Lepisosteus oculatus: one gene and its partners. The protein of the gene in region 1 binds, or shares a complex with, the protein of each later gene. Links are inferred from orthologs where the notes say so. Each region holds a gene or a part of one and is shown in the gene's direction. Other genes may lie near its edges. The genes, in order: bcl2l1, tpt1 and bcl2-associated agonist of cell death-like.

Evidence for each region.
Region 2: the proteins of bcl2l1 (region 1) and tpt1 are in contact, whole or in part, in a crystal structure (PDB 4Z9V), measured with the Homo sapiens proteins. The link is inferred for Lepisosteus oculatus from reciprocal best matches to the Homo sapiens genes BCL2L1 and TPT1. Residues at the interface, in NP_001304848.1 of Homo sapiens: Ala93, Glu96, Phe97, Arg100, Tyr101, Ala104, Phe105, Leu108, Gln111, Ser122, Gln125, Val126, Glu129, Leu130, Asp133, Asn136, Gly138, Arg139, Val141, Ala142, Phe146, Leu194, Tyr195, Ala199, Ala200, Ser203; in NP_003286.1 of Homo sapiens: Phe14, Asp16, Ile17, Lys19, Ile20, Arg21, Ile23, Ala24, Asp25, Gly26, Leu27, Cys28, Leu29.
Region 3: the proteins of bcl2l1 (region 1) and bcl2-associated agonist of cell death-like are in contact, whole or in part, in a crystal structure (PDB 2BZW), measured with the Mus musculus proteins. The link is inferred for Lepisosteus oculatus from reciprocal best matches to the Homo sapiens genes BCL2L1 and BAD. Residues at the interface, in NP_001276645.1 of Mus musculus: Ala93, Glu96, Phe97, Arg100, Tyr101, Arg103, Ala104, Phe105, Leu108, Gln111, Leu112, Gln121, Ser122, Gln125, Val126, Glu129, Leu130, Arg132, Asp133, Asn136, Trp137, Gly138, Arg139, Val141, Ala142, Phe146, Asp193, Leu194, Tyr195, Gly196; in NP_031548.1 of Mus musculus: Ala137, Leu141, Ala143, Ala144, Gln145, Tyr147, Gly148, Arg149, Leu151, Arg152, Met154, Ser155, Asp156, Glu157, Phe158, Glu159, Phe162, Lys163.

The regions. Positions count from the first base shown.
Region 1 is NC_090711.1:3,270,794-3,278,309, forward strand, and holds the start of bcl2l1 (bcl-2-like protein 1), read left to right. Parts: upstream 1-4,513; 5' UTR 4,514-4,647; intron 4,648-4,726; exon of another isoform or gene 4,727-4,864; intron 4,865-4,943; exon of another isoform or gene 4,944-5,099; intron 5,100-5,105; exon of another isoform or gene 5,106-5,252; intron 5,253-5,745; 5' UTR 5,746-5,869; intron 5,870-7,516. Other genes in the region: tpx2 (targeting protein for Xklp2), read right to left, coding at 415-555, 890-1,016, 1,137-1,268, 1,382-1,490. UniProt on the Homo sapiens protein: Potent inhibitor of cell death. Inhibits activation of caspases. Appears to regulate cell death by blocking the voltage-dependent anion channel (VDAC) by binding to it and preventing the release of the caspase activator, CYC1, from the mitochondrial membrane.
Region 2 is NC_090710.1:16,166,222-16,173,857, forward strand, and holds the start of tpt1 (translationally-controlled tumor protein homolog), read left to right. Parts: upstream 1-4,634; 5' UTR 4,635-4,717; coding exon 4,718-4,745; intron 4,746-5,215; exon of another isoform or gene 5,216-5,381; intron 5,382-5,424; coding exon 5,425-5,498; intron 5,499-6,061; coding exon 6,062-6,246; intron 6,247-7,636. Other genes in the region: kidney mitochondrial carrier protein 1, read right to left, coding at 2,604-2,644. UniProt on the Homo sapiens protein: Involved in calcium binding and microtubule stabilization. Acts as a negative regulator of TSC22D1-mediated apoptosis, via interaction with and destabilization of TSC22D1 protein.
Region 3 is NC_090713.1:21,769,171-21,776,311, reverse strand, and holds the start of bcl2-associated agonist of cell death-like, read left to right. Parts: upstream 1-4,086; 5' UTR 4,087-4,218; intron 4,219-5,984; 5' UTR 5,985-5,992; coding exon 5,993-6,152; intron 6,153-7,141. UniProt on the Homo sapiens protein: Promotes cell death. Successfully competes for the binding to Bcl-X(L), Bcl-2 and Bcl-W, thereby affecting the level of heterodimerization of these proteins with BAX. Can reverse the death repressor activity of Bcl-X(L), but not that of Bcl-2.

The DNA.
Region 1 (7,516 bases):
GTGTGGAATTAGTTTACCTCTATCTAGCTCTTGGTTATGGCTGATAAGTGCAAAAAGCATAAAGCAAGGATGATCAACCAGGTGGGCCGAATTACTCCTCTCAACAAAGCTGTGATAGAGAATACAGCATTCACGTGCCTCTGGTTATGCCAGCCACTTGGGAATATCATTAGAAATCACGTACAAGTTGGGGGTTATGAATAATAATTTCACTTACTCACTAAACTGCTCGGTCAATTGCTGATTTTTACCAGTTTCATAACATTATATTAATACCTGTTGTCAGTAATGAGATTTTATACATGAAAACATTGTTTGCTAGAACTCAAAGTTCAATTACTGCTACATGCTGTACGGCACAGATCAACAACAAAAAAAGAAAATCCAGGCATCGTCGAGTTCCTTTGAGATTACCTTTTTCTTAGTTTTTTAACAGGAGGGTCTCCTGCATGAGGAACAGTGGCTGCTGCACTCCTCCTCTTTTCCTCACGAATTTTGGCCATTTGCTTCCGCTGGTTTTCCATCTTCTGATGGCCGGACAATCTTTTAGAAACTCTAAACGGGTGAGGGACAGAGCAGTCAACGCCAACAAGAAAGTTAAAAAGTGTTTTCCTGAATTCAGAGGGTTTTTTTTCCCCCCGCCCTTGGTGGACAGTGCACAGTGATCTGTAATTTCACACCATGTGGAACTCTGAGAAGCTATCCGCCAAGTAAAAATTCACCAGCTCTTGGGGAGATCCATGCCACGGGTGAACGAAGTGGCACTCAGATCAGCAATTTCCAAAACCGGAAAGCACAGTCCAACAGAACAGGACAAGACTGTGCATTTCTCCCCCCATCCCATTTTTAATTCCAGCATGTAAGACTGTCTGACAGAGGCTCCTCCTACCTCCTGGGCTGTGCTGGAAGAGCCTTTCTCTGAGGCTGGTTGTCTGTAGATGGCCAGTGGCTCCAGGAGGTCACCAAGTTTGAAGAAACAGCAGGAGCAGACGGTTTCTCTCCTTCGGCGCCGCACTCTGAAAGGGGACATCACCCAGAAAGCTGGAATAGCTTGCCCTGAAGTTGCTTTAACCAAGAGGAAAACGACCTTGCTTTCACTTAAGGATGTTATGGTAGTGACAAATAAACATGCTTGCCTGTCCCGCGATTGGCATCGTGCACCATGGGTAAAACAAAGGCTTTGGGCACATCGGTCTTTGCTTCTCCCTTAGCCTTAAACGGAGTGGTATGCAAATCCATCGTCTTGGACTCTGGCTCAGCTATCTGGTCTGAAAGCAATAACAGATGTTTCAGACAACAAAAGGCAGGCAAGCCCAGATATAACCAGCTTACAAAGAAAGAGGAGGGTGTAAAAAACGCGAAAAGCCCGAGACGGTCTTACCGAACCAGTGATCTGCATTGTCCTCCCTGTCCAGGGACTTGAAATCAATCACGACCGAAGGCGCGTCAAACTCATAATCGGCCATCGACACCTCCTGCTGCATGTCCATCTCTCCGCCGTGCCGAGCTCCTCTGTCCCTACTGGGGGGGAAAAAGTTTTAAAATCGATAAAACCTTACATCCCGAGTGCAGCACCTGCCTTCTTTTCCCGACTGATTTTTATCCCTACAGCGGTATACACTATCCAGTCGTATCCCTGGAATATTATAGTATGTATTTATAAATATTTAAGGGGGGGGGGTGCTCACTTTGCAGATGGGAAAAGTCCTTCTTCCGGTGGAGGGACAGACTCACTGCCAGCGGATTGGAGACGCGCAATTTCAAAGTTTTGACCGAACCGCCTCCCGACGCCCAGACCACACCAAGTACGTTTTGCTCTCTCCTTTCACCTGACTGAATTTTTGGGGTGACTTCTTTTTTTAAAAAAAAAATCAAGGTGGAAGCCCATCCGGGCTTACCTAACAACCCATGTTTGAGCTAAAGATTCCTCCTACACGCTTAAGAGTCCGATCAGAAAGAGGGGGGTCTAGTTTGAAGCGATCACGGGCAGGAAAAAAAAAACACATATACCTGCATGAAGCGTTATTTATGTCCTATCCTATTTACTTGGGTATAGCATATGAAAAAAGGCGATGTCCGCCTTAGACGACGACGCTGACTGAAGCAAATCGAGATGCTGTCGTTAAGGTGAACCTATTCCTACGCAGAATCCTTTCTTTTTCAATACTTCAGCAGTATTTTTCCACCCCCAAGAGATTACATAACTGTATAGAAACAATCCACCCGACACCCCCAGCAAAAAAAAAAACCCAAACAATACTGGTCGGGTCCGACACAGCTCGGCGTCTAGGCCAAACAACAAAGTAGCCCTAACTACTCATTTCAGCCACAAAACCAGCAAGGTACGTCAACTCACATAAAAGACGTGTATTTTAAATGCACGATTACATACCTGTTCCAAAGTTTCTTCCCTGATGAGTAAGAAATCCACTGTATTTAAAGAAAAGTTATAACTCTCCCCCGTCCTTACTTTACTTGCTCTGCAGAAAATGTCTGTCTGCTAACACCGCCCCTAGCGCCGTTATCATTTGAAATCCGTCCCTTTCCAAACTGGCCAATCAGCAGGCGACTCGCAGCCTCGGCGCATTTCTATTGGTGATGAGGCCGAAATCGTTCGGGTAGGCTTGAGCGCTCATGGGAAATGTAGTCTTTTCATGCCACGTACTACCGACGTAAAAATTTAGGGAGCGTCAAGATGATGTGTTGATAACCATTTCGTGGAAGGGTTTGGGTCAAACGTGCAGGATGTGGAATTAAGGGGGGATCTAAAATCTACATAAATCAGCTATATAAGACATGTAGGCCAGTTTGTCGATACTTGAGAAAAGCTTGTCCAACCCTTTCTAACGAGTTATACGAAATTGTATTGATGGGCGAGCAAGATAAGAGCAGAACTGTGGAGTGTCGGCTTCAAAACCTCTAGATTCATATGCTCGATTTACATTTTAGAAAAGAACAAGCAGATTGTTCATTCCACAGTGGAAAGTAGAAGAAAACACGCAACGTGCAGCCTTCTTCGAATTTCAGGGAAAATATATAGAAGGGAACAAAATTGGGAAGTCGAATCTAGTGCAGTTCTTCACCAATAGTGTTATACAGTATATTGCGAGGATTAAAATAATATCCTTCACTGAGGGGCTGAGAGTCCCGCCCTCCTTTCTGTCTTGAACAGAGCACATACTAAGGGCGAACCTGACGCACGGATTAGGAATCCTAAAGGCTGTAAATGAAAAAGTCAACCCAGCGAACTACTTCAGAATGAACATTTAAAAAACCCGATTCAGGGGACAAAAGTGTACGCTATGGTGAAAGTGCATTTAAAACTGAGAGCAGGGGGAACTACTTAAAACACAGCGGTTCGTAAGATCGTGGAACGGGCTACCCAGCCATATTGTTGAAGCCTCAAGACGATGGCATGCTTGGATCAGTGTGCTATTAAATATCCAATAGGCTCTTCTCGTTTGTAAATGTTCTCATGCGGTCATGTCAAATACATACTCAACTGCACACACACACACACATATATATACACGTACCCCCTGACCGTTTTAAGATCGGACAGCTCAGAAGAGATTGTGTCTGTCCAGCAATCGTATGTATTGCCCCTCGCTCTTAAAAGCCAAGAAGAAAGCCGTTTCAGAGAACATGTCAGAGCATGAGAATCAGAGATTCCAAGCAGACAGTTTAAACGAGGCACAAGAGGAGGCTATTCGGTAAATCTTGCTCGGCTGGCTTGCTAGTTTAATGCAAATTCACCAAATACAGGAAAGGAATTCGTGCTGTTCTCTGGTGCTTTATGAAAAGATCTCTGGTGTAACAGACACATTTAATGTGAAAACAATCAAGGACGACCCGGGTGTATTTTCGTCATCTCGTATTGTTTTGCATTGTAGGACATCCTGTCTTATATTGTGTTATGCTGAATACGAACCCGATTTTATAAACATGTGGTTACATCGCACGCTACTTTAACCTTTGTACAGTTTTAGAGTTCAGCAGATAGATAAAAGTTAACTATAGGATGAAAAAAACCGAACACAAGTGTTAATTCGCTACTGTTTTTATCAAGATTCGTCACCCATCACTTAGGACGTATCTGAAATATCGTGACTTGTGACTATGGTTATTTTCAGGATCTGTACGGATTAGAGGGACGTATTTATATCTAGATTTATATCTATATCTATATTTACATCTATATTTATATTCATATGTGTGATACGATTTTTCTGTGTACTGTTCTGTTCTAGTCTGTTCTTTGTGTGTCCGGACTGTGAGTAACTCTTGTATTGTATTGTATGTATTGTACTATTATTATATAATTCGTTACACTGTGGCTGTGTTGTGTGTGTGTTAAGCTGCTGTTGCACTGCAATTTCCCTCACGGGATCAATAAAGTATCTATCTATTTTGGGGCGAAGTGGCAGTATTCACTGCCTGCAGTGGTACCTCCCCCCAGCGGCCACGGTGAGGCGCTGTGTCTTTAACAAAACGGGGGAGTGGGAGAAGCGTGGTTCGTCACTAGAGGAAACAAACGTTACCATAGAGATATTTTAAAGCGTTTCATCGTTTTTCACCCCGTGTTGGTTTAAAGATGAAAACCAGTCCGGACGAGGGCGTTACAACCTCTTCCTGTTCTTTAATCAGGTCAGATTTAAATACATTATTTCAGACGTCGTGACTGTAACCATATTGAACACGCTTACTGTGCTTTGCAGGGGTTGGTTAAGGGACCTGCCTTGATTAGCTAACGAAAACACTGCTGCGACATAAGAAGGATAACGTTGTGTAAATGCGGGATTTCTTTTTTTTTTTTCCCGAAAACGTGCATTACAAATTGCAAGCCAGTGTGCACAAGACCGAGGTAAAAAAAGCATGACGTCCCGTCGTTACTCGAGCAGGGTTGGTCTAAAAAGTGTCATTTTACATCCCAAAGGCGGAATATCCTGCAGAAGGAAAATTGTAGTGCGCAAAGAGGCTCGGGCTGGCCTCTGGATCTCGAGTGGGGTTGTGGAAATGAGTAAAATGTCGGATCCTAGTCCGTATTATTGATTAGTGTTAAGCGACCATGATTTATGAAGGGTACTCAAACGAATGGGGTAGGTAGTGCTATGTGCGAGTGCTAAATTGTGGTCTTCTTCAATCAGAGGTGGTTTGTGTGTGGCTGGACTACGTTGGTGCTGACGGTTAATTAGAAATGGGCTCCCTGCCTCTTCTGCACACGGGTTTATAATCATGTTGACTCTGCAAAGGTAAATTGAGAATCTTAAAACAACAGAGTAACGGGGAATGGGACTTTTTTTTTCCGGCTCACCGTGGAGGGCCGATTTTAATTCGTTGCGGGTAGTCATTAACCACTTTAATGTGGGTTACAGTGGTTAGTGGTGTGTGATTGGTGCACTGTCTCCTAAAATGGATTACTCACCTGGGTTGGTCCGCCTTAAAAATAGGCCAGTGCAGTCGTTTAATTGTTGGAAAACTAAACTATGTACTATGTTATGTACAGTTCATATGCACTCGTAACCGTCGCGGTTTTTTTTTGCTTTGAGCAATGTGTCGTATCGATTTACAAAGATGTATAGTTTTATTGACGTAATTGTGCCTCATGCGTGCGGGTGCGCGCCTCTAACTGTGCAATTACGGTAGGAAGGACGTAATTGCCCCCGCCCCCTTTCATCGGCGAGGGGGCGGGGCCGTGTGCGCCGTGCATTGGCTAATAGGTTCTGCTTTGCTCCTGTGCTGCAGGGTTTGACAGCGTGCAGTGACTCAGGAAGCCCAGCTCAATTGACTGGATAGGGACGAGCCAGCGGTATTGCCACCAAGGCAAACAACGCAGGGCTGCTACCGAGCAGGACTTTCATTTGCCGAGGTGAGTGTCACCCCGAACCTTTTCAGGTCCGTCGTAGCCTTGGGCTGGGCTTGATGGAGAATGTTTCGCTTGCTCCATTTGCGAGGCATTGAAACGCCGACGCCGAGGAGCATCCGTAGTTCGGCAGTGGATTGCGAGATGCGTGCTGGTTTTATTTTCTGCTTGGATTTTTATTTTTCCCGATGAGCCCCCAAAAAAAGTGCTCTCCAGCAGGTTTTCAGAAAGCAAACGGCGTTCTTGTCTGGCTGCGGCGTGCGCTGTGAGCCCCGACACTGGTGTTGATCCTTTTCAGGGCGTGTTTGAGTAAATAAAATAGTTAGCGATTGCTTCCGATTGTGTGTGTGTGTGGTGGGGTAGGCTGCTTGTCGGTGTTTCGCTCCGGTAGGAAGAGCAGCTCGCAGGGGAGACCGGTAGGCGAACCCTAGGATCCCTAAATGTCAGCCTTCTCCTGTCTGAAATGTCGAGCCTGTCTTTTGTCTCATTTATCTGCAGACGGTACCGCACAAATCACAGTCACACCTACTGTATGTGGCCGGGGAATCCGGCAAAGATCGTCTGGCCGTGATAGCGCATTTCTATGTAAATCTGTCTCGGGAGCCGTGGCCCTTCACATCGGGCTTTTAAATGAGCTGTCGTGGAGGAAGTTGTCGTTATCGTAGCCGGTAAAATACCAGTCCAAATGCCAGGATTAACATAGGAAAGGTTAGGTTTTAGATACTCCGGCCTTTCGCTAGCCGCCTCTGATAACCTGGATGAGGTCAGGCGCCATGGAGAATAATAACAGCTTTGATCATCATTTCAGTCTTAATGTGTGTTTGTCACACCGAGGAACATTTATATGCGTCGGAAAAACGTTTATTCCTGTTTAGAAACATAAATGGCTGTGTTGTTTGTTATGGAGGGAATGTTATGTGTGTAAGATTACTAGGTAATGGCAAACTGCGTGATTATATCATATGTTGGTGTTATTCACATTGTTCAGCCTGTGAATATGTTTATTTTTGCGTGTCCGTGTGTACAGAAACAGTAGACACTAGAAATGGGAAAGAAGACACCCTAGTTTGTAGAGGTTTCCCTGGCTGGGGGTTTAATTTGTGATGTCTCAGTTCCCTGTGGTTCAAGGCAGCAGAAATACTTGTACTTTATCTGAGCATCTTGAGCAGCTCTGGACAGGGGCATTGGCAGCTCTTTGCTGGCATCGGGGAATCAAGGAGTCAGGTAACTGGAGAGTTCATCACTGACCTCTGACCCCTCCTCCCCAGCCTGCCCCTGAGTGTGGTGGTGGTGATGGTGTGGGGGGTACGTCTTGATTTGTGCCTCAATATGGTCTTTTGAGTTGGTCTTTGCGGGGGTCACTTGAGAAACCCCTGCCTGTCTGCCTGTCTGTCTGTCCATGTCAGTGGTCATCTCTCCCTGCAGGGCAGTTCATTGAATTCCTGTCAGTTTAATTTCTGAAGGGTTTTGGTGCCACAGAGAAGATGAGCAGTGGCGCTGTGATAGGATGTGGTGTAGAGCAGTCAGACACTCTCCTGCCATGTCCTGGACAATTAATGAACGCTGTCAGACAGTAACAGACATCAGATTGTTTTCATTCTTTAATTAGTGTGATCCCTACACCAACCCTGTAGCTTATAATGAGCCCCCATA
Region 2 (7,636 bases), on another chromosome or scaffold:
TCCAGGCGCAAGACTTTATGAAGGAAAAACACATCAGCACTGTACCAGCCTGGTGCACAAGCAATTTAAGATTTCTCATGCAACTGGAAAACAAGTACCTATCGAATGTGGAGCTACAGTACAACCACATACCATTCACTCTCCTTCACCTTTCAAACAAGTCTTTTCAAGTTCCCCCTTCCCCCAGTCGGCCATTACGAAGAATTACGAAGAAAAGCAGTGCGTGCAAAAGCAACAACATGAAAAGATGTGAAACACTAAACAGCAGATATAAACCACTACTTTAAAAATCAGATCATGGGCGGCACAGAGGAAAGCACATGAAAAGCCAATGCAGAATTTTGGAAACTACATGACCTTCTGTGTCCTCTGCCACAAATAAGTATTAATGTGCCCTCCAGAGTCCAACAGAGGACAAGAGATTTTATTTGTCTTCACTGTAATCCCTAGTAGACACTGACAAGACTCTCTTCTTTCACTGGCCACTGGAAACTAAGTGAGGCTAAAGCCCTTGAAGTCCGAACATTATACATATGTGGGTTTCTCTGAACACACAGTTAACTTTAATGATTGCACAGATCTTACTGTAAATGGAATGTGCCCTAAATTTAAGCAGCAGTTTAATTGTACCCAAATTTATCAGCAAGGATCACACATTCACAGCTGCTTTCCTAATTATACAGACAAAATATATGTCTGCCATCACTCTTCATCTTTATATACTACTGTATATTGACCGTGGAGACACTGGGCTGTTGTCACATTTGGGCAACTTCCTCTGTGTGGTCCAATTTAAAAACGACACCATTGAGTCCTAACATGTAAAAGTATTAGAAAAAAAGCAGAAACAATAGCCTCCCGCTCAATCTTTTTGATGTTTCCAGACACTTAAAATAATACATATTACCTTAAACTAATCATATTAATAATTTTATCTTAACAATTTAAAAAAAACATGTTTTGCATTGCACTGATACCTACGCCTTTATGGGTTGGGGATTTGCCGTTTCTTACAAAAGCTTTCTGAAAATGGAAATATTAACATGGAATAAAAAGAAATTAAGCTTCGCATTTCAATTAATGCACAAAAAAGCAATATGTTTTTAGCTCCATCCATACCAAAGCGTCCACGAATTGTGGGCTATGCCTTTTAGGGTCTAATAAAAAAAAAAAGTTCCATATTATCACACTTACATAAATAGTAAAAACGAGTCTTTGAGCAGAGAAACTGCGTAGCACTTTTAGGATTGTATCATACCTGGAACTTATATCCCCCAAAATTTCAACACGATTGCTGCATTCATTAAACAGCTTGTTTATACCGTCTTTCGTTGAAGTTGAAAAATAAACACTTCCTGTAAATGTTTTGATGCTGAACAACGCACGCGATACAAAACTACCTCAAATGCAGAACAGTAATACGGGATAAAAACTACTTAGCAAGAGAATATAGGAGAACAGCGGATATAGAAAAGCTACTTACTTGCAATGCAGGAGCTTGCTTTAAAAACCGTGTTTCTCGCCGAAATCGACTGATCCGTCCACGTTCCTTCACTCCGAGAAATACGAAAATTCAATAAAGGCACTGACGAGTTATGGCAGAAATAATGAACCATACACGTGTCGTTTATTCGAAACGCTTAAAAGCCCTTGCTGCGGTTTGGTTCTACTTAAGTCTGCGTGAAAAGCAAGGCTTAATTGTTTTCATGCGTTCACCTTCAAGCACATCTTATGGTCTTTTCGAGCTAACGGATCGGATTAAGGAAGAGACAAGTTAATTTCACTCGTGGTGCGGTGGCATCATACGCGCTTCTTCCGTCAAGTTCTCACAAATGACATCCAGACCCTCTGCAACAAACCCGCCCAGTAGTTCTGCTCACACACCCCCATCCGCTCAGACCGACAGCCCTTCCCTTTCACAACGAAGTAAATCGATGTCACATAGTAAGGTGCTGCCTTTTGAGTTTTAATTATTATAATTTTAATATTATACTTATGATAATAAACCGTAGTTTACAGATCGTTGTTTAGGAAAAGTAAACGGAACACGGTATTGTTTTGTACGCCGGTTACAGCCCCTTTTCAACAAAATACGCCATCCCTTTTCCAGTTTGCAGGCAAAGGATACACGGATTCCTCCTTCTGTCACACCGCTTTACCAATGCTGCCATCAGCTTTGTCCACCCCGTCCTAGTCACCTCTCTCAGAGAACATTATTGCCGTCTGCGGGCCCGCCAAGCTCATCACCCTACACTTCAAATTCATGTAAGGCCAAGGCACTCGTACAACTGGCCAACTTAATGAAAAACTGTTCTTCTTTCCGATTTCTGGCAATGTAGTCAAGGTAGTTGTTTGGCGTGGTGAGGATCCTCGTTATCCTGATGACACAGAGGGTTTCCACTCGAAAGTTATTCTACTGAGCGGTGCCCAACATCGAACAACACAATGCTTCTCTGTTGCTTAGTATTTCCAAAGAAAATGTACACTCAAGGACCAGCAGAAGGCACTATCAAGCAGGCACAATAGCGTAAATATACAAATAAATTAAATAATGACTGAGTCAGTTGAGTTAAGGTAATTGTAAGACACTTTCAGACACGTACCCCGTAATTTCCACTGGCTCCACTGTCTGCAAACACGTCATCAAGTCGACTACAACAAACCCCTCAAACGTGCTCTACAGCTGCAGCAGAAGCCTTCGGGCTCTCGGTGTATCTGGTTTTGACCGTAGTTTCAGAGCCAGAGCAGGGAAAACAGACATGGACAAGTGACTTATTATGCAAATCATGCCACAACAAGTGAAACAGTGAAACGACTGAAAGTGGACAATTATCCCTTTAAGAATGTGTATAACTTAGTAGACGATTGTATGATATTTTAGAGTGTGCACTCATCGTACGATTGGTATACATTGTGGAATAAAGTTTATTTTGTTAAACAAAATCGGGGTCTGACCGATTCTCACTGACTTGCTCGCGGTTTCACCCATTTTGTGACGGGTATGAATCGGGTTCTGTAGGCTAGGCTTTGCAATTATCAGAGCGGTACTTGAGAAAAACAAAAGTTTGACATGCATACAACACGGGAGCACTTTTGTCTTTAAAACTGCCTCTGAGAGTTTGCGCTTGACTCCTGTACAGGAGACCATGGCAAGCCATGCTATTTTATGGGCCTTAATTTTAGTCAGTCTGTTCGATTGTTTATTTCAATATTATTTGGTGCGAAAACGGCAAGAGATTTGTTTTTTTTTACATACTTTACAAGTACATACTTTTCAAAATAGTTAAGTGAAGCCTTCAGGTGGTAGGATTTGCCAAATGCGCGCAAAGCAGCAAACAGGTTATGCAGGTCTGCGTTTTTAAAGTACCGTCTGTCCTCTTAACTGCTTTAGCCAGTACAGGGTGGAGCCGGAGCCTTATCCCGGCAAGCAAGAGACGCAAGGCAAGATATCACCCTGTACAAACACGCACGTACACCAATGTTAGTTTCCCCAGAAGACAATTAACTTACCAGTATGTCTGTGAACTGTGGGGGGAAATCGGAGTAAACCCACATGAACAAGAGGAGAACATGCAAACTCCTCATAGACAGCACCCCAGGAGCTGAACCCAGGGCTGCGAGGAAGCAATGCTTACCACTGTGCCTAATTAGGATTGTGTTTTTGTACAGAAGAAAACATAAAAAATGATACCATTTAGGGCTTGTCAGGCATCATGCACATAAAAGAAACGAAACAATGAGCATAACACATAGGCAGCGATTAACACTATAGGCTACACAATAACTATTCTAACTATATTCAGCATAACTGGACTACATGTATATATTGCATACACCATGGACACATAACAGCTCTGCTCACATTGAGTTCTATTCAATTTTAAAAATGTAACCTCAATTTTGTGATTTTTATGTTTTTGTGAATTTTTGTGATTTATGTGAGCTCGCAGAAAAAGACATTTCATTGCCAGCATCTACTGCTGCACGCCGTATTGTTGTGCGTTTGATAAATAAACTTTGATTTGATTTGATTTATCACAAAAGGTCACCCGAATATCGGTACTTTGCACGGTACCTGCAAAATGAAAGCCATAATGTCACAGGTAATTACCTAAAACAAACATCTTTCCCTTTTAATTTAACCTAGACCGTTATTAACGATCGATTTTTGTATGGGTTTGGTCAATACATAAGGGCTTGATATTTAGAAGTAAAAAGGAGACACCGAGCTCATGGGCGGAGTGGGAACACCACTTCGAAAAATCATCCACAATTTTTACCGTAATAGCATGATAGTGTTAGAGCTTTACAGACCGATTAATTTAAGGTGGTCAGTATTAAGAACGAGAATCGCTCGATTTGAGCACTTCTCGAAATGTTGCATAAAGTATTGTAATGCTAATAAAAATGTGGTTATGCAAACCAGGTTTCAGAAATCCGCTCCAGACTTGGATCTTATTTTGCCGATTAAAAAAAAAAGTTTGTTGGTTCTTCGCTTCGCACTTCAAAGACCGTAGAAGACAAGCGATACATTTTAACCCCTCTATATTACCGCCAGGGGGCAAATTTGTTTCAAAGCTTGTGGCTCAATGACGTCAACGATGCTGCCAGTATCTAAGCTGGGAAAAAAAGTATATCGCTCCTTTTCAGCCAGATCCGCTAGTGGGGAGAGCAGGAGCCATATTTGAATCAAACCCTTAAAACACAATCCAGCAGAATGATCATCTACAAGGATATCATCACCGGTAAGAAAGCGATGTATTCAGAAGAAGCAGTTTTTAAGATTTAGATTTTGTGTCTATTTCTTACCGTGGAAAGAATTAATTCGTAATATTTCACTTTTTTATGCCCGTGTTTTACGAGGCCTAGTAGCGTAGGCCCCGGCTTGATACTGAACTCGCAGGATGCTGATTGACCATGGTTTTGTTCTTTTTCGTTTGAAAATATTGTCGTGTTATAGGTTTTTAACCAGTCCCGCTAAAGAAAGACAAAAGCAAGTGATTTAATACGATTTCTTAGCTAAGCGGTATTAACGACAAGTAAACTTCGGGGGCCGGTTTGTACCCCCCCTATAAAGGCTTTATTCATGAAATTCCATTAGTATTTTACTTGTACGTGGCAGACTGAAATATTACTCAATCGAATAGTGAAATCGGTTGCTTTAGTATCTTATTCGTTGTAAAGTAATTCAAAACGCGAAGGAAATTTTTATTACCTTTTGCCCCCAGTTGGGACGCATTTTACGCTTTAAGAGGGGCCGAAGTATTGATGCTTTTGTTTGTCGGAATGTGGCGGGACCTCTTCTAGAAATATTCAGGCGGGGTGTGAAAATAGCGGAGCTCAGTGGCATCCCGCTCTAGAGCCGGGAAGTTCAGTGAGGGCTGCTGGAAGTCGGATTCACGTCACCAATTTTCTTTCCTGCAGGAGATGAGATGTTCTCTGACATCTACAAAATCATGGAGTCGCCCAACGGAATCTTAATCGAAGTCGAAGGCAAGGTAAGGGGTTTTCGCAAGAGGCCGAGGTGTGCAGAAACTGTGGGGCTGGGTGTGGGGGGTGAATCAGCCTTGTTCACTGCGAGTGTGTTTAGTGGGGCGCTTCTCTGACGTGATCGTGACGAACGAGGGAACGTTTCCGGGTTGAATGGGAGCTTTAGAAATCGGCAGATGCTTTGATTTCCACACACACACAAAGAGTGCGGTGTTAAAAAATAAAGTAAATCGTTTCAGGCTTCTAGGTTATAGTGAAGTAATGGGAAATGGAAGCACAGCTTCCATTCTGAAATAACTGAATGCTCCAGATGTGGATTTATAGCTACTAGTCATCCTTTCACTTTTTCCTTTCAATGAAGAGCTTGTATGACTGAAAGGATTCCAACTCTGTTCTGTAGCTGCTGAGGTCAGTGGGAGAGAGTGAAATTTAAGAGAGAGGAGGGAGGCCGGCATGCCAAGTGAGCAGCCTAGGTTGAAGCTGTGGCCTTTGAGAGCCCCGCGTGAGATGGGCGTCTGCATAGAGTTTGAGTGGCTCCTGTAGACCCCCCGGCTTTTGTTCTTTGTTTTAGGTGGTCAGCAGGTCAGAGGACATTGACGACTCTCTCATCGGCGGCAATGCGTCAGCTGAACTCCAGGATGAAGGCACAGAAGCCAGCACCGTCAGCGGCGTGGACATCGTCTTGAACCACAAGCTGCAGGAGACGGGCTTCACCAAGGACACGTACAAGTCATACATCAAAGACTACATGAAGACGTGAGTGAGCGCGGGGGACCGGATCGCCGCCTTCGGCTGGCTGCATCGCTTGACAGGCCCAAAGCCTTGGGAAAGTGGCTTGAAGGGTTTTTTGTGTCGATGCAAGAGCAATTTCCTCGCGCTTTCTGTGCATCTTTGTCCGTAGCTGCTCAGATTGAAGAGAGGAAGACACGCTTTTTTTCCCCTTTTGATAAGAATTATTTTTGTCCCTTATTGGGGGGAAAAGCCAGACATTTTAACTGTCCATTCACAAAGCGTTTGCATTCATCTGGCTTTGAACAGAAGAACCCTTTAAGATCATAATGTAGTTTCGTGTTTTGGGAAGTAGCTGTTTGTATAACTTTATATGTTATACTGAAATTCTGATGTAGTAAAAGATTTCAGGTGCTGTGAGGGGTATTTGGACTGTTTTTAGAAGACAGTGGAAGTATAGATTTTCAAGTTGTCATGGTGTTGTGGTATTGGAGTAAAATGGACAGCTGGAGAACATATATAAAAGTACCGTTAATGTGTTAAATTCAATAACTTCCAAAGATTGTGGTTGAGGCTGGAAGACCAGATGGTATTATCCTGAAGTACTGTAAATAGAAGGTAAATTGAATATATTTGGAGACCGCTGTTAACCTACCTTATGTTGAAACCTGAGAACTGAAAAGATTTTTCAAAGGTCATTTAGATGCTCCCAGATATGGTTAAAGAATTGCACATTTCCAGATCCAAGCAGAAGGCAGAACAGGACAATGTTTTGTCTTAAATACATAAACACCTGAATCCCTAGATTTCAGATGATGAAATGGAGACTTGCAGTAAAAAAGTCCTTGATATGTGCTGGAGCCAGATCATTTAAACCCATTTTGGTTATTGTCTTAATCCTAATCAGCTAACCAGTGCTGGGAAGCAAATACAGGAATAGTACTTTTAGCTGACTCAGACTTGAGCTATTGACAGACTGAATGTCTGTAATGTCACGCTGCAGTGTTCTCATTAATTTTCTAGATGCTGTATCGCATAGACCACATCAGATAGACTGGTTTTCATAATAAAAATTATTACTGGTATTTTTGAAAAAACCTCTGCCTTAAGACTAATCTTGAATTTATAGATGCTTTGTTCACTAAACTTCATGTACATTATTTATGCAGACAATGTGGAGGAGTAGTAATACAATCCCATGCTACTGTTTAATGTAAATGCTGACGCTTCCATAATTAATATCTAACCAATCGTTAAACGGTAGGCATGGCAAATGCAGTATTAGATTTAGCCTGGAAGAGTAGTTGGATGTTGTCAACATTAAAAACTGATTCCTTAAGAATTGGTGATCTGGCTTGAGGATAACCTATGAATACTAGTTTATAAACAGCTGGAATCGACCGAGCTTACTTGAAGG
Region 3 (7,141 bases), on another chromosome or scaffold:
GGACACTGGGGTAACACCCCTACTCTTTTCGAGAAGCACCCTGGGATTGTTAATGACCACAGAAAGTCAGGACCTCGGTTTTACATCTCATCCGAAGGACGGCGCCTGTTTACAGTCTAGTGTCCCCGTCACTATACTGGGCATTAGGACCCACACAGACCGCAGGGTGAGCGCCCCCTGCTGGCCCCACTCACACCTCTTCCAGCAGCAGCCTCAGCTTTCCCAGGAGTCTCCCCTCCAGGTACTGACCAAGCTCACACCTGCTGAGCTCCAGTGGGTTGCCAGTTGTGAGCTGCAGGGTGATATGGCTGCTAACTTATCTTCATTGAAGCCATGAACCGGGGAGCTGGAGTCTATCCCAGCAAGCAGCGGGCACAAGGCAGGGTACACCCTGGACGGGACGCCAGTCCATCACAGGACACACGCTGACACACTCACTCACCCTGGGCAGGACGCCCGTCCATCACGGGGCACACACACACCGGGGCCAGTTTTCCCAGAAGCCCATTCACCTCCCAAGCATGTCTCTGGACTGTGGGAGGAAACCGGAGCACCTGGAGGACCCGGAGGAAACACTCACACACACGGGCCACCGCCACGACCCGGAGCGGATCCGACCGCTCCGCAATGGGAATCGGGCTGGCGGCTGGAGGGAAGGCTTCGAAGCTGGATGGACACAGGGGTGGGTGTATTTTGGACTAAAAAACAGGAGACGCACCTCCGCAAGAGTCTGTGGGGGGGGGGGTTCGGGGTTCTGGTGCTGACCCGAACAGACCCGGCCGGACGGAGGCAGCACCTCTGTTGTGGAGCTCTCTGGCCCTGGTCCCACAGGGCCCGGCTGCAGTCGGCCCCACAGGTCACCACTGTCCAGGGCTGGGGGAAACCTGGGCTTCATCGAGCTGCTCATCAAAGTCAATTGTTCAATTGAGAGAACGCCGGTCGTGGAGGCCAGGGGGTGAAACGACTTAATTTGACCAATCGCCGGCCTCTCCGAGCAGGAAGAGACTGATGCAAGTTTTGGAAAACTGATGACTTAATGATGACATATAGAGCCAGCTGGATCAGGGCCCCTGTTATACAGAAAACCCTGGAGCTGATAAAACCTGGCCTGGAGTGGACTGGAGCTGGAGCCTCTTTTACGTACAGGAGCCCCCTGCAGCTGGTAAAACCCGGAGTGGATCAAACTGGAGCTGGAACTCTGCCAGACAGGAACCCTGCATGTTGTTAAACCTGGTTGGGATCGCACTGGACCTGGAGCCCCTAACATACAGGAACCCTACCGTACAGCTGTAGAGCCCTGTGTTTTCCAGAACAGGTTGTGTTGGTGAGGGACTGTGCGCCTGTCGGAGCAGTGATTAAAGTGTCAGGCACTTGACTGATCTCTTGAGCAAGCGCCAAGAGTCCATAAAGCACATATATCAAATGAAAGATTTAAAACGTGCACCCCTCCGACTTTAAAAACAAACGTGCATTTATGTGATTGAACGTCTCTTTAATGTATTGACTACTTAAGAACTTCTAATGGAAATAAATGCTCTAACTGGGCCAGTGCGCTCATTAAAGAGAGGAGGGCAGCTATTCCTCCGAGCTGTGATTTGGTATCGCAGGCCAGCGCTGGGATATCTGCTGAGTATCTGAATCCGGGAGAAAGAGAGATTCCCCCATCTGACAGCGACATCTTGTGGTCATGAGGGGAAATTCAATTAAAAAGAAAAACATTAAATATAGAGCACTAAGTCTCTGTACAAGAGGAGGCCATCAGCTTCGCATAAACAAGCAAATCCTGTTCCCAGGACTGGACGCTGGACAGCCCTGCTCTGGACACGCTGACCCTCCAGGACTAGACTCTGGACAGCCCTGCTCTAGACCCACTGACCTTCCAGGACCGGGGCTGGACACCCCTGCTGCAGACACACTGACCCCCTCCTGGACCAGGACTGGACAGCCCTGCTCTAGACACACTGACCCTCCAGGACTAGGACTGGACAGCCCTGATCTAGACACACTGACCCTCCAGGACTAGGACTGGACAGCCCTGCTGCAGACACACTGACCCCTCCTGGACCAGGACTGGACAGCCCTGCTCTAGACACACTGACCCTCCAGGACTAGGACTGGACAGCCCTGATCTAGACACACTGACCCTCCAGGACTAGGACTGGACAGCCCTGCTGCAGACACACTGACCCCTCCTGGACCAGGACTGGACACCCCTGCTGCAGACACACTGACCCCTCCTGTTCCCAGGACTGGACAGTGGACAGCCCTGCTCTGGACACGCTGACCCCCCAGGACTGGACTCTGGACAGCCCTGCTCTAGACCCACTGACCCTCCAGGACCGGGGCTGGACACCCCTGCTACAGACACACTGACCCCTCCAGGACTAGAACTGGACAGCCCTGCTCTAGACACACTGACCCCTCCTGGACCAGGACTGGACAGCCCTGCTCTAGACACACTGACCCCTCCTGGACCAGGACTGGACACCCCTGCTGCAGACACACTGACCCCTCCAGGACCAGGACTGGACAGCCCTGTTGCAGACACACTGACCCCTCCTGGACCAGGACTGGACAGCCCTGCTCTAACTGGTCCTGTAGTTGTACCCCATGGTGAAAACAGAGTCGCACTGTTCTGAGGGAATGTCTGAGCTGATCTGACAGAGGCCCTGGATGTCTGTGTTCAGGAACCACAAAGGCTGCCCAGCTGCTGTGGGGTTTGTTAGAAAACATTTCCACATGAGAATAAATTTCCAGGTATAAACACTCATGAAGCCTGTGCACACTGTGCAGAATTACAACACTATTCGCTTTCTGAACACAGGAGAGCCGGACCCTATCCCAGCAAGCAACAGGCACAAGGCAGGGTACACCCCGGACAGGACACCAGTCCATTACAGGACACACACACACTCACACCAGGGCCAGTTTTCCCAGCAGCCAATCCACCCCCCCCAGCATGTCTGTGGACTGTGGGAGGAGACCAGAGCACCTGGAGCCATGTGAACGCGGGGAGAACATGCAGACTCCACCCAGACAGCAGAATTGAACCCAGGGCCCCAGCGCTCACCACTGCACCGCCCTGATTACAACACCCTAATTAGAGCACGTTCAGCAAGAGACTGATCCATCCGCGGTGCGACAGGGGGCGCTACCGGAGGTCATTGTTGCCTTCTGCCATCAGACTGTACAACGCCTCCACTGTGTGTCTGGGCAGAGGCAACATCGACAGTGACCTGTTTCTGGACTGAGCAGCAAACTGATACATCTGTTCTTTTTTCTTTCCCGTTACAACCGTTTTTTGTGCAATATATGCCAGGAACCCGTGTAATACATTGATATTTTTATCTATATTTACATCTATATTTATAGTCATATTCTACAATACGATTTTTATGTGTACTGTTCTGTTCTGGTTTGTTCCTTGTGTATTCTGGACTGTGAGTAACTCTCCTTGGTGCACTTCTCACTGTACTGACTGTATTGTGTTATTATTATTGTATCATTCGTTACACTGTGGCTGTGAGGTCTGCGTTAAGCTGCTGTTCCCTCCCGGGATCAATCACGTATCTATCTATCATACAGCATACATCATACAGTATATAGGACGAGAGTCAAATCAAAACAGAGCTCAACCCAATACGCTGCGATGACAGGTTTTCATGACAAGATATTTGGAAACAGGACAATACGAGGGCTGGGAGCGAAGTACAGGCTGGACACTGTCCTAAAGCCCTCCGAGAGCAATCTCTGCAGAGCCACCGGTTTTCTAGATCCACCAGCGGGTGGGAAACTGCGATTGACGCGCACCAAGTGATGCAATATTTGGTCCGCAACAACACCTAGGAGCAGAAAATCGTCAGGAAGGGCGCAGCTCGGGCTGCAGACCTTGTGTGTCAAATATCCGAGCACCGGGTGTTGCTCGTGCAAAGGCCGGGGGGCCGGGCTGGATTTCGGGGTGCGCGGCGCCACGCGCCACTACGGCCCCTCGGCGCTGGTAAACAAGGCACGCGGCCCCGGCCTCGACCCGCAACAGTGACGTCAGGGCGGCGCGGCGCGGCGATTGGCGGGGGCCGGGGGCGGGCGAGCGGATTGGCTGGGCGAAGCGAAACCTGCGCCTTCGCGGAAGGGCTGGGGAGCAGCCGGACCCGACCTACTTCTGTTGACGCCGGAGAGCCCAAACAACGATCGCCCAGCAAGCAGCCGCAGCCGGTCCGGGTAAGGAGAACAGTTCTGCGTCGTGACTGAATTCGGGAGTGCAGGCGCCCATGATGAGGATTGCAGGCTTTTTTTTAGTGCTTTTTTTGAAAAAGCAAACGAAAGTTCAGCTGCGTGTCTCCAGGTTCCCAGCCAGAAGGTTGCTTTCCAGACCGGGAAGCTGTTAGGTAGCAAAGCCAAAGAGAACCGAAGCGGGCGCCTTCTGGGGGTACAAACTCCCCCCCATCACACCCCAGGGGGGTGGCTGGGGTCTGAGGGCGAGACCCTGCAGCGACCGGGCTGGGCTCTGCTCGCTCCGGGGCGCCCGTCTTTCCCAGCTCCTCTCCGGGAAAACTTCCTTTCTACCCGGAAGTCTCGAGGCGGCGGGCCGAACGTCCAGGGCACGAGCGTGTGGGTCTGAGCCCCGTATGTCACCGTTCTCACTGTGCGGTTGTACAGCGTGACACCGTGTGCGTGGCAGTGCCTGACTGTCGGTAACCGTGCGTGTGTGTGTCGGTGACTATAGTGCACATCAACACCTGTGTGTGTGTATCGGTGACTATAGTGCACATCAAGATGTGTGTGTATCGGTGACTATAGTGCACATCAAGATGTGTGTGTATCGGTGACTATAGTGCACATCAAGATGTGTGTGTGTATCGGTGATTATAGGACTATAGTGCACATTAATAGCTGTGTGTGTATCAGTGACTATTGTGCACATCAAGACCAGTGTGTGTGTCAGTGACTATAGTGCACATCAACACCTGTATGTGTATCGGTGACTATAGTGCACATCAAGATGTGTGTGTGTATCGGTGATTATAGGACTATAGTGCACATTAATAGCTGTGTGTGTATCAGTGACTATAGTGCACATCAAGACCAGTGTGTGTGTCAGTGACTATAGTGCACATCAAGACCAGTGTGTGTGTCAGTGACTATAGTGCACATCAACACCTGTGTGTGTATTGGTGACTATAGTGCACATCAAGACCTGTGTATCAGTAACTATAGTGCAAAACAAGACCTGTGTATCAGTAACTATAGTGCAAAACAAGATCTGTGTATCAGTAACTATAGTGCACATCAATACCTGTGAGTGTATCGGTGACTATAGTGCACATCAACACCTGTGTGTGTGTCAGTGACTATAGTGCACATCGATACCTGTGTGTGTGTATCGGTGACTATAATGCACATTAATACCTGTGTGTGTATCGGTGACTATAATGCACATTAATACCTGTGTGTGTATCAGTGACTATAGTGCACATCAAGACCTGTGTATCAGTGACTATAGTGCAAAACAAGACCTGTGTATCAGTGACTATAGTGCAAAACAAGACCTGTGTATCAGTGACTATAGTGCAAAACAAGACCTGTGTATCAGTGACTATAGTGCAAAACAAGACCTGTGTATCAGTGACTATAGTGCAAAACAAGACCTGTGTATCAGTGACTATAGTGCAAAACAAGACCTGTGTATCAGTGACTATAGTGCAAAACAAGACCTGTGTATCAGTAACAATAGTGCAAAACAAGACCTGTGTATCAGTAACTATAGTGCAAAACAAGACCTGTGTATCAGTGACTATAGTGCACATCAACACCTGTGACTATAGTCGGGGAACTGACTTAAAACACCATTCAAATATGATCCCAGGGTCCACTTTAATTGAATGACGTAAAATGGCCGTGTTTTTACGCTCCTGTGGTGCACTGTAGAAACGGAAAGGCCGAAGAGCCCCCCGCACTCACCTGCGTGCCCTCTCTCGCCTCTGCAGATGTCGCCATGACGCCCGTGTTCAGCCTCTCGGACGATTCGGGCCTCTCGGATGACGTCGCCGAGCCCGCCCAATCGGAGACCGCGGCGGGGAGAGGGCCCCGCCAGGAGGCGGGGCTCGGGCCCGCGCTGGGCCACGCCCACAGCAGCCCGGGGATCCGGCCTCCCGGTGAGTTGCGGACGACCCCCCCGCCGGCTGGCTGCGTGAGAGCAGTGCTCCCCAAATTCCGGGGTCACCGGGGCGCGCCAGTGACAGTACCGCTCTCGCGGTGATGTGACTCTTCAGTGGGACAAGGTGGACAGCGCTGGGAATGAAAATCCTCAAGGGGAACTGCAGCGCTATTTTTGTATTTCGCGGCTAGAAAGAATCGGCATCATTGAGTGCGTTTCAGACCGCGATGACAGTAAAACGCGCACACACGGTAACTTCCAAATGACATCACAAAACACGGGACATTTCCAGGTCTGCGCAGCGCCATGTTCTGGGATTCAGAACGAGGCAGCGATACTTCCAGCCCTGTGACACTGTGTACAAGCAGGCTTGTGAGTCCAGCTCTTCTCATCCAGTAGAAATTCTGCCCTTGTTAACTCTGCCATCAGATCACGCTGGAGCATTTCTACTGGTGAAAAGTCTGCTGTACAACCTGTACTTACTCCTACATCACAGTACATTAGTCATCACAGGGACTAGTAAGCAGAAAGGGCAGGCTCACATCTCAGTCCATTGGTCACCACAGTGACTAGTGAGCAGGAAGGGCTGGTTCACAGCTCTGTACATTAGTCATCACAGTGACTAGTGAGCAGGAAGGGCTGGTTCACAGCTCTGTACATTAGTCATCACAGTGACTAGTGAGCAGGAATGGCTGGTTCACAGCTCTGTACATCAGTCATCACAGTGACTAGTGAGCAGGAAGGGCCGCTTCACGTCACAATTTGTGGGAACCTGATGCGAATCTGCAACAACATGCTGACTCGCAGTACTTTCGCAAAGTTCCCGATTTTGTGCACAATTCGAAATTTGATTTTTTTTTTGTTTGAAATGGGGACCTCAGCTCCCCTTTAACACCTTCCAGGCCCCAGACTCCAGCGTCCCTTGAATTGCACAAATCACTCGTTTACCTTCAGCGGTTAAATCTCCCAGGGGTTCCCTTTAGGAAC